3 linked regions of the Callithrix jacchus genome follow. The protein of the gene in region 3 interacts with the protein of the main gene of each other region in a biochemical or structural test. Links are inferred from orthologs where the notes say so. Each region holds a gene or a part of one and is shown on either strand. Other genes may lie near its edges.

Region 1 (3,652 bases), on a different chromosome or scaffold from region 3:
AAAAGGGTACAGAAAGAGGCACCAAAAAAAAAAGAGAGAGAGAGAGAGAGAGACTGGAAAAGCTTCAGAAAGGTGATATATAGACTGATTTCTACTTTAACTAAGTAGGAGTTAGCCAGAGAGATAAGTAGAGAAGAGGTTTACAACAAAGAATACTTCAAGTGCAAAGACATAGAGGTTTTTCATTGGGTATTACAACGTGTATTTTAGGGATGGGGAAATTGAGGCCCACAGAAGGGAAGAAGATACTTCCCCAAGGTCACACAGTAAATTGGTGTCAGAGCTAAGATTAGGAGTTTCGTTTTTAGTCTCCCAGTCCAATGTGCTCTCCATTAATACCCAAGTACTAAAAATTGGTACTTTTCATATAAATTACCTCATTTGATTTACAAATGAGACAAGTATTAACATCCCTATTTTAAAAATGAGAAAAATAAAGTTTAGAGGACAGTAGAAAATTGCCCAAGACACAAGTCAGTGGCTGGGCAGAAGCTTCAACTCAAGTGTCCTACCTCCCAGACCAAGTCTGTTTTCCATAATTCTAGGTATTATTGTTAAAAAAAAAAAATTCTAGTTTAGAGAACAAGACTATATACAGGAGTAACTAGATAACTAGACAAGTGGCTTTTCTTACTTTGTCATTTTATGAGGGATCCAGAAAAGGGCAATTTTTAAAATAGTGAAAATTTTTTTTAAAGTCACACGGGAATTAATCAGGAAGAACTAGAGAACCAGAAACCTTGGCTTTGGAAAGCAATGCCAGTTTGCAAATGTCACCAAATCAGTCACATCAAATCCTCTTTGGAAGTAAGTAGATACAGTGAATAAATTAAAGCCCTTGTCAAATGATTCTTCCAAGCCCACAGATCAACCTAGTTCTTCCTTCTAATATGAATTCTTTTGCAGTTTATACAGAAGTAAGCTACCCTAACATACCCCCATTTCTGGCAGCTAAAGAAAGTAAAATGGAAGTTTCCACTTGACAGCAAGTACATGCTCTACTTACAGGAACAAAAACTTATGTTCTAACCTTAGCCCTGTCACTTTTTAGCTGTGTGATTTTGGCCAGGATGTTTAGCCTCCCTGAGCCTCAAGTATCTTAATTACAAAAATTAGGACCATAATGCTTTTCTTCACAGGGTTAACAAGAGAATTAAATTTTTAAAAGTCAAGAAAATATTTTGCTCGTCATTTGATACATACTACAGGTTCATAAAATGTTAACTTCCCTTCCCTCTTTTCCTACAACCAAGATGGCAGATCTGTCTTCTCCTAGGTCAATGGCAAAACATCAATAATCAATCAGAGTGCCCTTTTCCACTAGGTCCTCAGTCTTTCTCAACATGGCATTCTAGACTATTCATTAGAGAAAAACTATTTGTTATCTCTATAATCCATGCCTAGGGGCAAAGGGTGCCCTACCCTCGAAGTGAGCTATTCACACTCTCTCCCACCACATCTTCATTCTAACATAGTATCCAACCAGGGCTGTAAGACATGGAAGGAAGGTGCAGGGGCAGGGTAAGAAGCAGTCTGTGGCTAAGGTACCAAGCATGGCCAGACAGCCACATGGACAAAGCCTAAAACCAAGAATCTCATCTCTGTGCTTGACCAGTCATGGAGCAAAGAAAGGTTCAGAAAGCTACAAATTCCTTACGTAATTTCTCCAAGATCTCCTCATCAGACATTTTAGGCTTCTTCTTCTGCTTCTCAGTATTCCGGGTCAAAGCATCTGGTGGAGTGGTGTTATTTTCAGTAGGTGAAATGGGAGATGTAGCCACGTCCCGAGTTGGAGTGACAGGAAGTGGTTCAATCACAGAGCGTGTGTATACCTGCATTATTAGTGCAAAATTTTGGCAAGGCCAGCCTTTGTTAGCATAGGGGAACCTCTCCTAGATGTGAGGTTAGAACATCCACAGAACAAATCCCAATAAACTCATCCTTTCTCCTATGTCCAAATTTATATTACGCCTCCTCTGTGCCCAGGCCCATCCATTCTGGGTAAAACGGCCTTCCTTGCTCTCCCTGTACACAATAGAAGTGAGAATCTCAGCACTAAAGATATTCAATAGAGGCTAGACAACTATCAAAAGAAATTAGTTAAAGACAATTTTATTAGATAAGTATCCCCTTCATCTGTAACATTTTATGCATCCCCAAGCTAAAAGAAATACCCTGTATTCCCAGAGCACTTTGCATTAGTAGCACAACACCAACTTCTATTGAGTTACTCCCTCCTTACATCCTGAACCCTTGCAGGGAAGGAACTACTTTTGTTCTTCATCAAGAGGCAGTACAGTGTGGTAATTTAGAACACAGACTCTGGAACCTGACTGCCTGAACTTAAACCCCAACTCTTTATTTTTACCTTCTACATGACTTTGGGCAGATTACTTAACTTCACTGTGCTTCACTATCCTCATCTATAAAGTGGTGATAATAATGACACCTATTTTATGGGGTTGCTATAGGAGTAAACTGATTAATATGTGAGGTAATCAGAATCATCCCTAGCAGACATTAAGCACTCAAATTTTATCTTTCAAAAATATTAAATGTTCTATTCATCATTTACATAACAAACATTTACTGGGAATCTACTTGTCTCACCTTGTATAAAATGCTACTCCATCCTCTCATTCTTATAAAGGAGGTGAGAAAATCATAAGTACAAGAAAGGGATAAATGTCATAAAGAAATGAGCAAGCTATATACTACTGAGGTTCAGAAATGATTGTTAAGTTATGCTTCCTTTCTCTAGGGGATGCTTCAAGGTATTTATCAGATTTTATCATAAAAATATCACAATTATTGTTTGCATAGTCTATAAGCTGTATAAGGACAGGGAATGTGGGTCATTCATCCCTGAGTTCCTCCACCTAACCACTTAACAAAAAAGCAAGGATTCAGGTAAATATTTGGTGGAATAAATGAATAAACAGGATCCTTCAGCAGGATCCTGAAAGATGGATAGGCTTCTACAAAGAACAGAGGATGATTTATCTATGATGATCATTTATCTGCAAAGATGCAAAGCCATTGGCAGCAGCAGGACTCAAACCCACGGCTCCACAGACACTAAAACCTACTAAATCCTGCACCTTGGACTGCTTGACCACGCTACCTTTTGACTGGATGGGCTTTTAATAGGTGGAAATGGGAGAGAACTTTCCATGTAGTGGGAACAGCAATAAGCCAAGACACTAAGATCAGAGGCAATGGCTTCTTTCCTGATTACTACTCTAGTATAATGATTGCTCAATTTTCTATTCTTGTACCTGTAGACAAACTATATCCCAGGCACCTAAACCTATACTTTCATGCCTTGACCTCTTTTGCCTGTCCTGATATGTCTCTTTGAAGACAGCTTGCCTTTTCCTTCTCTAATAGTCTCCTTCTCTGGCTTCTAGCACAGGTTTACACATACAAAAATACCACTGTGCTATGATGCAAAACAACCTGGAGTTGGGGGTAATTACCTGCTTTCAAATCCTGGCTCTTTAGTTTACTAAGAGACTGGGCAGATCAATTCACCTCTCCAAATCTCAGCTGCTTCTTATATAAATTAGGAATTAACAATACCTTTTTAGAAAGAAATGCTATGAAGATTGAATTTATCAATCTATTCATTCATTCAATATTTACTGCCCTC
Region 2 (3,234 bases), on a different chromosome or scaffold from region 3:
AGTTTATCCAGGTAACTTAAGAATAAACCAAAGTGTATCTCCCTTAATCTAAGAGCCAGGTTGTAATGACAAAAGTCAGTTACCAGCAATGCACGTGCAGGTAACTATCAAAGAAGTTGTAACTATAAATCCCAAACTGCTTCTACCAATTAAAAAGCCCTTTGCTGAGTCACAAGCCTAAAACAAGGCATTGGCACAGTCAACGAATATGGTCTTTGACTTAGGATGGAAGTGTCTTTGAGTGCATGACGGTCACAGTCTTATCATCTAGGTGGTTTTCTATTTCATTGGTAGCATCTTCTTTATCATAATCCATCCAACCATTTATGAAGAATGTTAAAATGTGAAACTCCAGTGGCACTGCAGCTTTCTACCAGAAAAACCAGTTTCTGTAATTCAGTAATAGCTGTTGAAGGCCAATATAGTCCAGAGAGAAATGAAATCAAGAATTATATTGAAAACAGAGACCATTAAGTGCTCTAAATATGTTTCATTAATTATTTTACTCATTTTTCTGAAAACTTTCCTGCTTTATCAATATAAAACAGTCACTTCTCTCCTTATAATTGTATATTAACATAGAGTGGGAATAAAATAATGGAAATAAAACCCTGCTGGTTTCCCCAATGTACACACAACAGCAAAATTATTTTTATTCATGATTTGTACGACTGCAGGGTGGCAAGCAAGGGTGAAGTCAATGGGGGGAACAAAATGCCAGAACCAAACCACAGATATTTGAACAATACCTGCTCCAAAAGCAAAACAACAAATAAAGGAGAGGAGAGGAGAGAGGGAGGGGATGGGAGGGGAGGAGAGAAGAGAGGGCACTCAAATAATTAATGCTACAGGTCTCAGACCTTTCAGAATCTTTAAAAGAAAAAAATTATTGCTATTAACATGCACATATCATTTTTCTTTCTCCAGTTTTTTACATTAATATTCTCTACTTATTTGAAAAGAAAAAACAAAACTAAAATAACTCAACATCTCAAATGATCTATAAATTCACCAAGAAATACTCTGTCACAGAAGCTCTCAAAGATAGTAAAACACTGATAATGATCTGGGACAATGAGACTTCCACAAGAGTCTGTGGTTGATTGGTTATCAGCTGGCTCCTCTGCAACACTAACATTTCTCTTTCATGAATATAATCTTGTCTCACTATATCAAAGCTCACCGAGGTTCCCGTCTGTCACTCTGCCTCTGCTAGTCCCAAATATTTTTCTCCTTTGAATGGGGGGGAGGGGAAAGCTAATTTTAAATTCTGAAAATTCACTGGTTATTGTATTATTTGCCCTGGGAGGGGGGTATGTGTGAGGCGAGAGAGGATTAATGAAAAACAGAAAGAACAAACCTAAACCTAAAATTGCAACATATACAGAAATTTATTTCCAAAATGAAGGGGAAAAAGGAGAGAAGAGGAAGGTAGTGGCACTAACCAAAGTCATAAAGCCCAGGTTGGAACAAGAACAAATCACTTTGGCTCCTAGAGCCAAACCTGAAGAGAAAACAGGCAGAAGGGAAGACAAAATTGGAAGAATTCTATAGTCAATGGGAATCTTTTTCTATCTCAATGATTTAGTTATAAATATAGATTATTAGTCTTCTCTCTATACATGTAACAAATGCCAAACTTAATACCACAAAATTTCTAAAACTGGCTTCTTCACATTTGTTAAAAAAGGTAAAAATCACATACTTTTCTTCCCTTCCTTCAGGTCAAGTTCTGAACTAAAATATTACATGTAACAACAGCTGGTCCTAACTTTTACACAAAGTGAAACTATATAGAGCTCCTTTGCCAACATAAGGAGCTACATAATTTCTATTACACTTGCCTAGGCATGAGAAACTCAAAAGCAGGAAATTAAGGAAAAGGAAAGCTATGAAGGAGAGAAAGAGTAGCAGATGGAACAAATACTCTGAAAAACTCGAATCTGCCATTCAAGTATTAGAAATACCCCAAATGGGACAATGAATGGGATCTATTACAACAAAGTCAGCAAAGTAAAACGCAAATCTCACTCATGATAAATGGCTCTGATAGGCTGTTTGCTGAAAGACCTAAGGCTAGTGATTCAGTCCACAATTCCTTCTGGACCCTCAAGAAGGGGTTCACATGGAAGTCATAATTTTCTTTTTGCAATTTTCTCTTGGTTGTCTTCAGAGAATAGTCATTTGCTTCTTTCATCCAGGTTATGCAGACCATTTCTTTAAACCCCAGAAAGAGTAATAATTTTCATATACTAAAAGGCTTCTTTTAGAAAAGGGAAAAAAGAATATGCAGCCACAGCAGTGATGTTAACGGTTACTCTTCATTGCTTCTTTAGCTGCCATGATCAATGGTGTCAAGCTAGACAGTGGTTTGGCCAGTTTCAGGAAAGGATGCTGCCAGAAAGAAGGGGAAAAATAAATGTATAAGTGCCATTCATCAGGTCAGAAACAATTCTGTTCAATTAAGCCCCAAACACTACTTGTCTATCATAATTTATTTAATAAACTAAACACATATTTCAATACCTTCATAAGACTAACATAATCAATACATTACTTTTAGAGTTGAATAAAAGCAGAATCATTTTAGTCTGACAAATATACATATGCCAGCAATAAACAGGTCTGAGAATTGATAATATGCACAAACTGCACATTATGTTATTGTCAGAATTTTATTCCCAGCAGAAGAAACCCTAAATTGTGGCAGCTGCCATACTGCTGGTGATCAGTGAATAGTGAAATCTAATTATTAGCCCTAGGAAAATGTTCTGTTGGTTACCAAAAAAGTCAACTATTCCACAAAATCAAATCCTTTTAAAATTTACCTGTAATAATTCTTTGGCTGAACCCCTTTTTTCCACATCCATTTCCAAACATCGATTTAAGAAATCCCGAAATATTGGGGAAAGTTTTTCTGGATTCTGAAGTTCTGGGGTTCCATTAGTTGCTATTAGGTACAAGGCCTAAATAAAAAAGAACATCTTTGACATACTTAAGACAGCTCAACAAAGTCATAGAGCACTCTATAAAGTTTATGGACCTCTTTCTTCTTTAAAGATCTCCATAAATACTAAACTGGGGTTATCATTATCGCATTTAAATTTAGATTTGATACTTTCCTCTTCCTGAAGTTGTTTTTCCAAAATCAGATTCACCTTTTTTTTTGGTTATAAATGCAATACACATTGCTTTTGTTTTATTGAGACAGAGTCTTACTCTGTCACACAGGCT
Region 3 (3,752 bases):
GTAGCACGATTTCAGCTCACTGCAACCTCCGCCTCCCAGGTTCAAGCCATTCTCTGCCTCAGCCTCCTGAGTAGCTGGGATTACAGGCACCTGCCACCACGCCCGGCTAATTTTTTTTTTGAGACGAAGTTTCGCTCCTGTTTAGCGTGCAATGGGGCGGTCTCAGCTCACCACAACTTCCGCCTCCTGGGTTCAAGCGATACCCATGCCTCAGCCTCCCAAGTAGCTGGGATTACACGCATGTGCCATCACGCCCGGCTAATTTTGTATTTTTAGTAGAGACGGGGTTTCTCCATGTTGGTCAGGCTGGTCTCGAACTCCCTATCTCGGGCCACCAGCCCGCCTCGCCCTCCCATCCGTATTTTCGGGCCTCCCGCCCGCCTAGGCCTCCCATGCCTATCTCGGGCCTCACAAAGTGCTGGGATTACAGGCATGAGCCACCGCGCCCGGCCTAATTTTTGTATTTTTTTTAGTAGGGACGGGTTTTCACCAGCGTTCGTTTCTTCCCGGACGCTGGTCTCGAAATGCTGACCTTGTAATCCACTTCGGCCTTCCAAAGTGTCAGGTTTACAGGCATGAGCAACCGCGCCCAGCTACTACAGGTTTTTCTTTCCTTTTTTTAAGACGGAGTTTCGCTCTTGTTACCCAGGCTGGAGTGCAAATGGCGCGATCTCGGCTCACCGCAACCTCCGCCTCCTGGGTTCAGGCAATTCTGCCCCAGCCTCATGAGTAACTGGGATTACAGGCACACGCCACCATGCCCAGCTAATTTTTTTGTATTTGTAGTAGAGACGGGGTTTCACCTTGTTGACCAGGATGGTCTCGATCTCTTGACCTCGTGATCCACCCGTCTCGGCCTCCCAAAGTGCTGTGATTACAGGCTTGAGCCACCGCGCACTGAACCCCAGAGAAAGGACCCGCAGATCCCGCCACGCCTATGCCGCGTTAGCGCGCAAAGATGGCAGCCGCCGCGCCCCGTGGGCGGAGACAAGCGGGCCCGAGCACTTCCGAGCGTTCCTGAAGCCCAGAGGAACTCCGGGAACCGCGCGGGCGGGAGCTGCCCCACCCGGAACCTGGGAGCGGCGGCGCCGGCGCGGGGGAGGGGAGGCCGGATGTGAGTGGAGCGGCCATTTCCTGTTTCTCTGCAGTTTTCCCCAGCTTTGGGTGGTGGCCGCTGCCGGGCTTCGGCTTCCAGTCCGCGGAGGGCGAGGCGGCGTGGACAGCGGCCCCGGCATCCAGCGCCCTGCCGTCCTCAAGCCGCGCGCCCGTCCGCCGCGCCCCGAGCCCGCCGCTTCCCGTTTCAGCGCCGTGCCGCTGCCGCCGCGGCCCAGCGAGCGGCCCAGATGCAGGCCATCAAGTGTGTGGTGGTGGGAGACGGGTAAGTGCGTTGCCGGGTCTGGGCTGGGGGCCGCGGGGGCGGGCGCGGGCCGGGGTGGGCGCGGGCGGGGGGCGGGCCGGGATTGGGGCCCAGGCAGGCCGGGATCCCTGGCGGGCTCGCGTAGGCGGTGGGCCTGGGCCTGTGGGGCACGGGGCGGGGGCCGCGGGCGCCGGCTGCCCGGGCGGCGCGTGCCTGGTTCCGGCTCTCGCTGGGGGAGGGCTTCGCCACTCGCCGGCCGGTGGAAAAAGTGAACTCCACCCTCCGGCTTTCTTCCCGGACGCCGCCCGCCGCCCGCCGCCCTCCCCGGGAGCCCTCGTAGAGGAAGCGCTCTTGGAGATTTTTACCGTTTTTCCAAAAAGGGACCCTCTCTTGTTTTTTTGCTTGAACCTCTCGATCCCTGGACCTCGAGAGCTGTGTTGGGAACCCGGCGGTTGAGTCGATCATATTTGATGCGTGCCCGATTGAACTGGCCGCTTTAGTGCCCCAAAGTTTTCTTTAAAAATTTTTTTTTTTTTTTTGCAGAGACGGAGTCTCGCTGTGTTGCCCAAGCTGGTCTTGAACTCCTCCTGGGTTCAAGCGATTCTCCCATCCCAGCCTCTCAAAATGCTGGGATTACAGGCGCCTACGCCTGGCTAATTTTTAAAACTTTTTGTAGAAATGGGGTCTCACTGTATTTCCCAGGCTGGTTTCGAATTCCTGGCTGGGATCAGGCGAACCTCCTGCCTGTCAGCCTCCAAAAGCGCTGGGTTGACACCGCGCCCGGCCCCCAAACTGATTTTTGAGCAGGTTTTTTCGACTTACACTTCTGCCACTGTTAGGATTCCTAAAATTAATGCTTTCTCCCTTTCCGAGGATAAAGTTTTTAAGATGCTCCCTGGCAGGAGCCATCTGTGATGGGGACTGTTCTTTTATCTTTCTTTATTTTATTTTATTTTTTTAAACGTGGTGTGGTCATTGAAAAAAAAAAAAAACTTTCTTGCTTAACGCGTTGGGTATGGGATGTAGCAGAACTGGCTCCTGTGACTCCAGGCGTTGCTTTTCATGACTGTCCGTGTTGGTTACAGGCCCTCGAGAAGGACAAGACTTGTTTTATGCCGTTTTTTTCTCCCATAGAAACAAAAATCTCAGTGTAACCCGAGCAAAATCGCGCGTCTCAGGCGTCGCTTGTATAGGTTAGTGTTAGCAAGGAAGAATTACTAACAGTTTCGTCAAACTCAGAATGCAACTGGTACATGTTCGAGTAAAGTCGAAGGAAAGTTAGGGCATCAAGGTTAACTTGGTTGATATTCTTCGAATTTGTCATTAGGTTTTGGTTTTATGCCTCTACGTCAATTCATGGATTCTCAGTGTATTTAGATAATTATACTGTTAAGACATTTGCAATTGTTTCAGTTATCCTTCTTGCAATTCAGATGCAAGAGGATAATTAGACAACTGATTTTTGTGAGAGGCCCATCTGTCGGATTTGTCTTGCAAGTGTGAAGGATTATTAACGCCTCATAATTTTATGTTTATATGATAACTAAAAATTGTAACTTTCAGTTAGAGTACGTATGCTGTTCAAGCTTTTTTTTTTTTTTTGACTCGGAGTCTCACTCCGTTGTCCAGGCTAGAGTGCAGCAGTGTGATCTCTGCTCACTGCACCCTCTGCCTCCCAGGTTAAAGTGGTCCTCCTGCCTCGGCCCCCCTAGCAGCTGGGATTACAGGCACGTGCCACCATGCTTGGCCGGTTTTTGTAATTTTAGTAGAGATGGGGTTTCGCCATATTGGCCAGGCTGGTTTTGACCTCCTGACCTTGTGATCCTCCTGCCTCAGCCTCCCAAAGTGCTGGGATTACAGGCATGAGCCATTGTGCCTGGCTGGGCTTTACTTTTTTATTTGGGAAAAGTGTTCAGTCAATTGATTGATAGTGACATCAGTGAATTGTTTCATTTAAAAAAAAATTTTCGAGACAGGGTCTCTCAGTGTTACACAGGTTGGAGTGCAGTTGTGCCATCTTGGCTCACTGCAACCTCCACTTCACCCGCTCAAGCGATTCTTAGCCTCCCGAGTAGCTGGGATTACAGGTGCCTGCCACCACGACTGGCTAGTTTTTGTATTTTTAGTAGAGATGAGGTTTCACCATGTTGGCCAGGGTGATTTTGAATTCCTGACTCAAGTGATCTGCCTGCCTTATCCTCCCAAAGTGCTGGGATTACAGGAGTGAGCCATGGCACCTGGCCCACCTTTTCTTAAGAACATTTAACATTATTTGGATTTCCTTTAAGCTAAAAACGCTGAATCAAGTTTTTTTTTTTTTGTTTGTTTGTTTGTTTTTTTTTTTGAGATGGGGTCTCAGTCTGTTGCCCAGGCTGGAGTGTGATAGTGTGATCTC

What was found.
Region 1: the proteins of RAC1 (region 3) and PAK1 form a complex in vitro, tested with the Homo sapiens proteins (17 studies listed by BioGRID and IntAct). The link is inferred for Callithrix jacchus from reciprocal best matches to the Homo sapiens genes RAC1 and PAK1.
Region 2: the proteins of RAC1 (region 3) and PAK2 form a complex in vitro, tested with the Homo sapiens proteins (2 studies listed by BioGRID and IntAct). The link is inferred for Callithrix jacchus from reciprocal best matches to the Homo sapiens genes RAC1 and PAK2.

The regions. Positions count from the first base shown.
Region 1 is NC_133511.1:63,592,409-63,596,060, reverse strand, and holds part of PAK1 (serine/threonine-protein kinase PAK 1), read right to left. Parts: intron 1,833-3,652; coding exon 1,658-1,832; intron 1-1,657. UniProt on the Homo sapiens protein: Protein kinase involved in intracellular signaling pathways downstream of integrins and receptor-type kinases that plays an important role in cytoskeleton dynamics, in cell adhesion, migration, proliferation, apoptosis, mitosis, and in vesicle-mediated transport processes.
Region 2 is NC_133516.1:25,312,580-25,315,813, forward strand, and holds the end of PAK2 (serine/threonine-protein kinase PAK 2), read right to left. Parts: intron 2,967-3,234; coding exon 2,829-2,966; intron 2,395-2,828; coding exon 2,308-2,394; 3' UTR 632-2,307; downstream 1-631. UniProt on the Homo sapiens protein: Serine/threonine protein kinase that plays a role in a variety of different signaling pathways including cytoskeleton regulation, cell motility, cell cycle progression, apoptosis or proliferation.
Region 3 is NC_133503.1:16,113,458-16,117,209, forward strand, and holds the start of RAC1 (ras-related C3 botulinum toxin substrate 1), read left to right. Parts: upstream 1-1,136; 5' UTR 1,137-1,343; coding exon 1,344-1,378; intron 1,379-3,752. UniProt on the Homo sapiens protein: Plasma membrane-associated small GTPase which cycles between active GTP-bound and inactive GDP-bound states.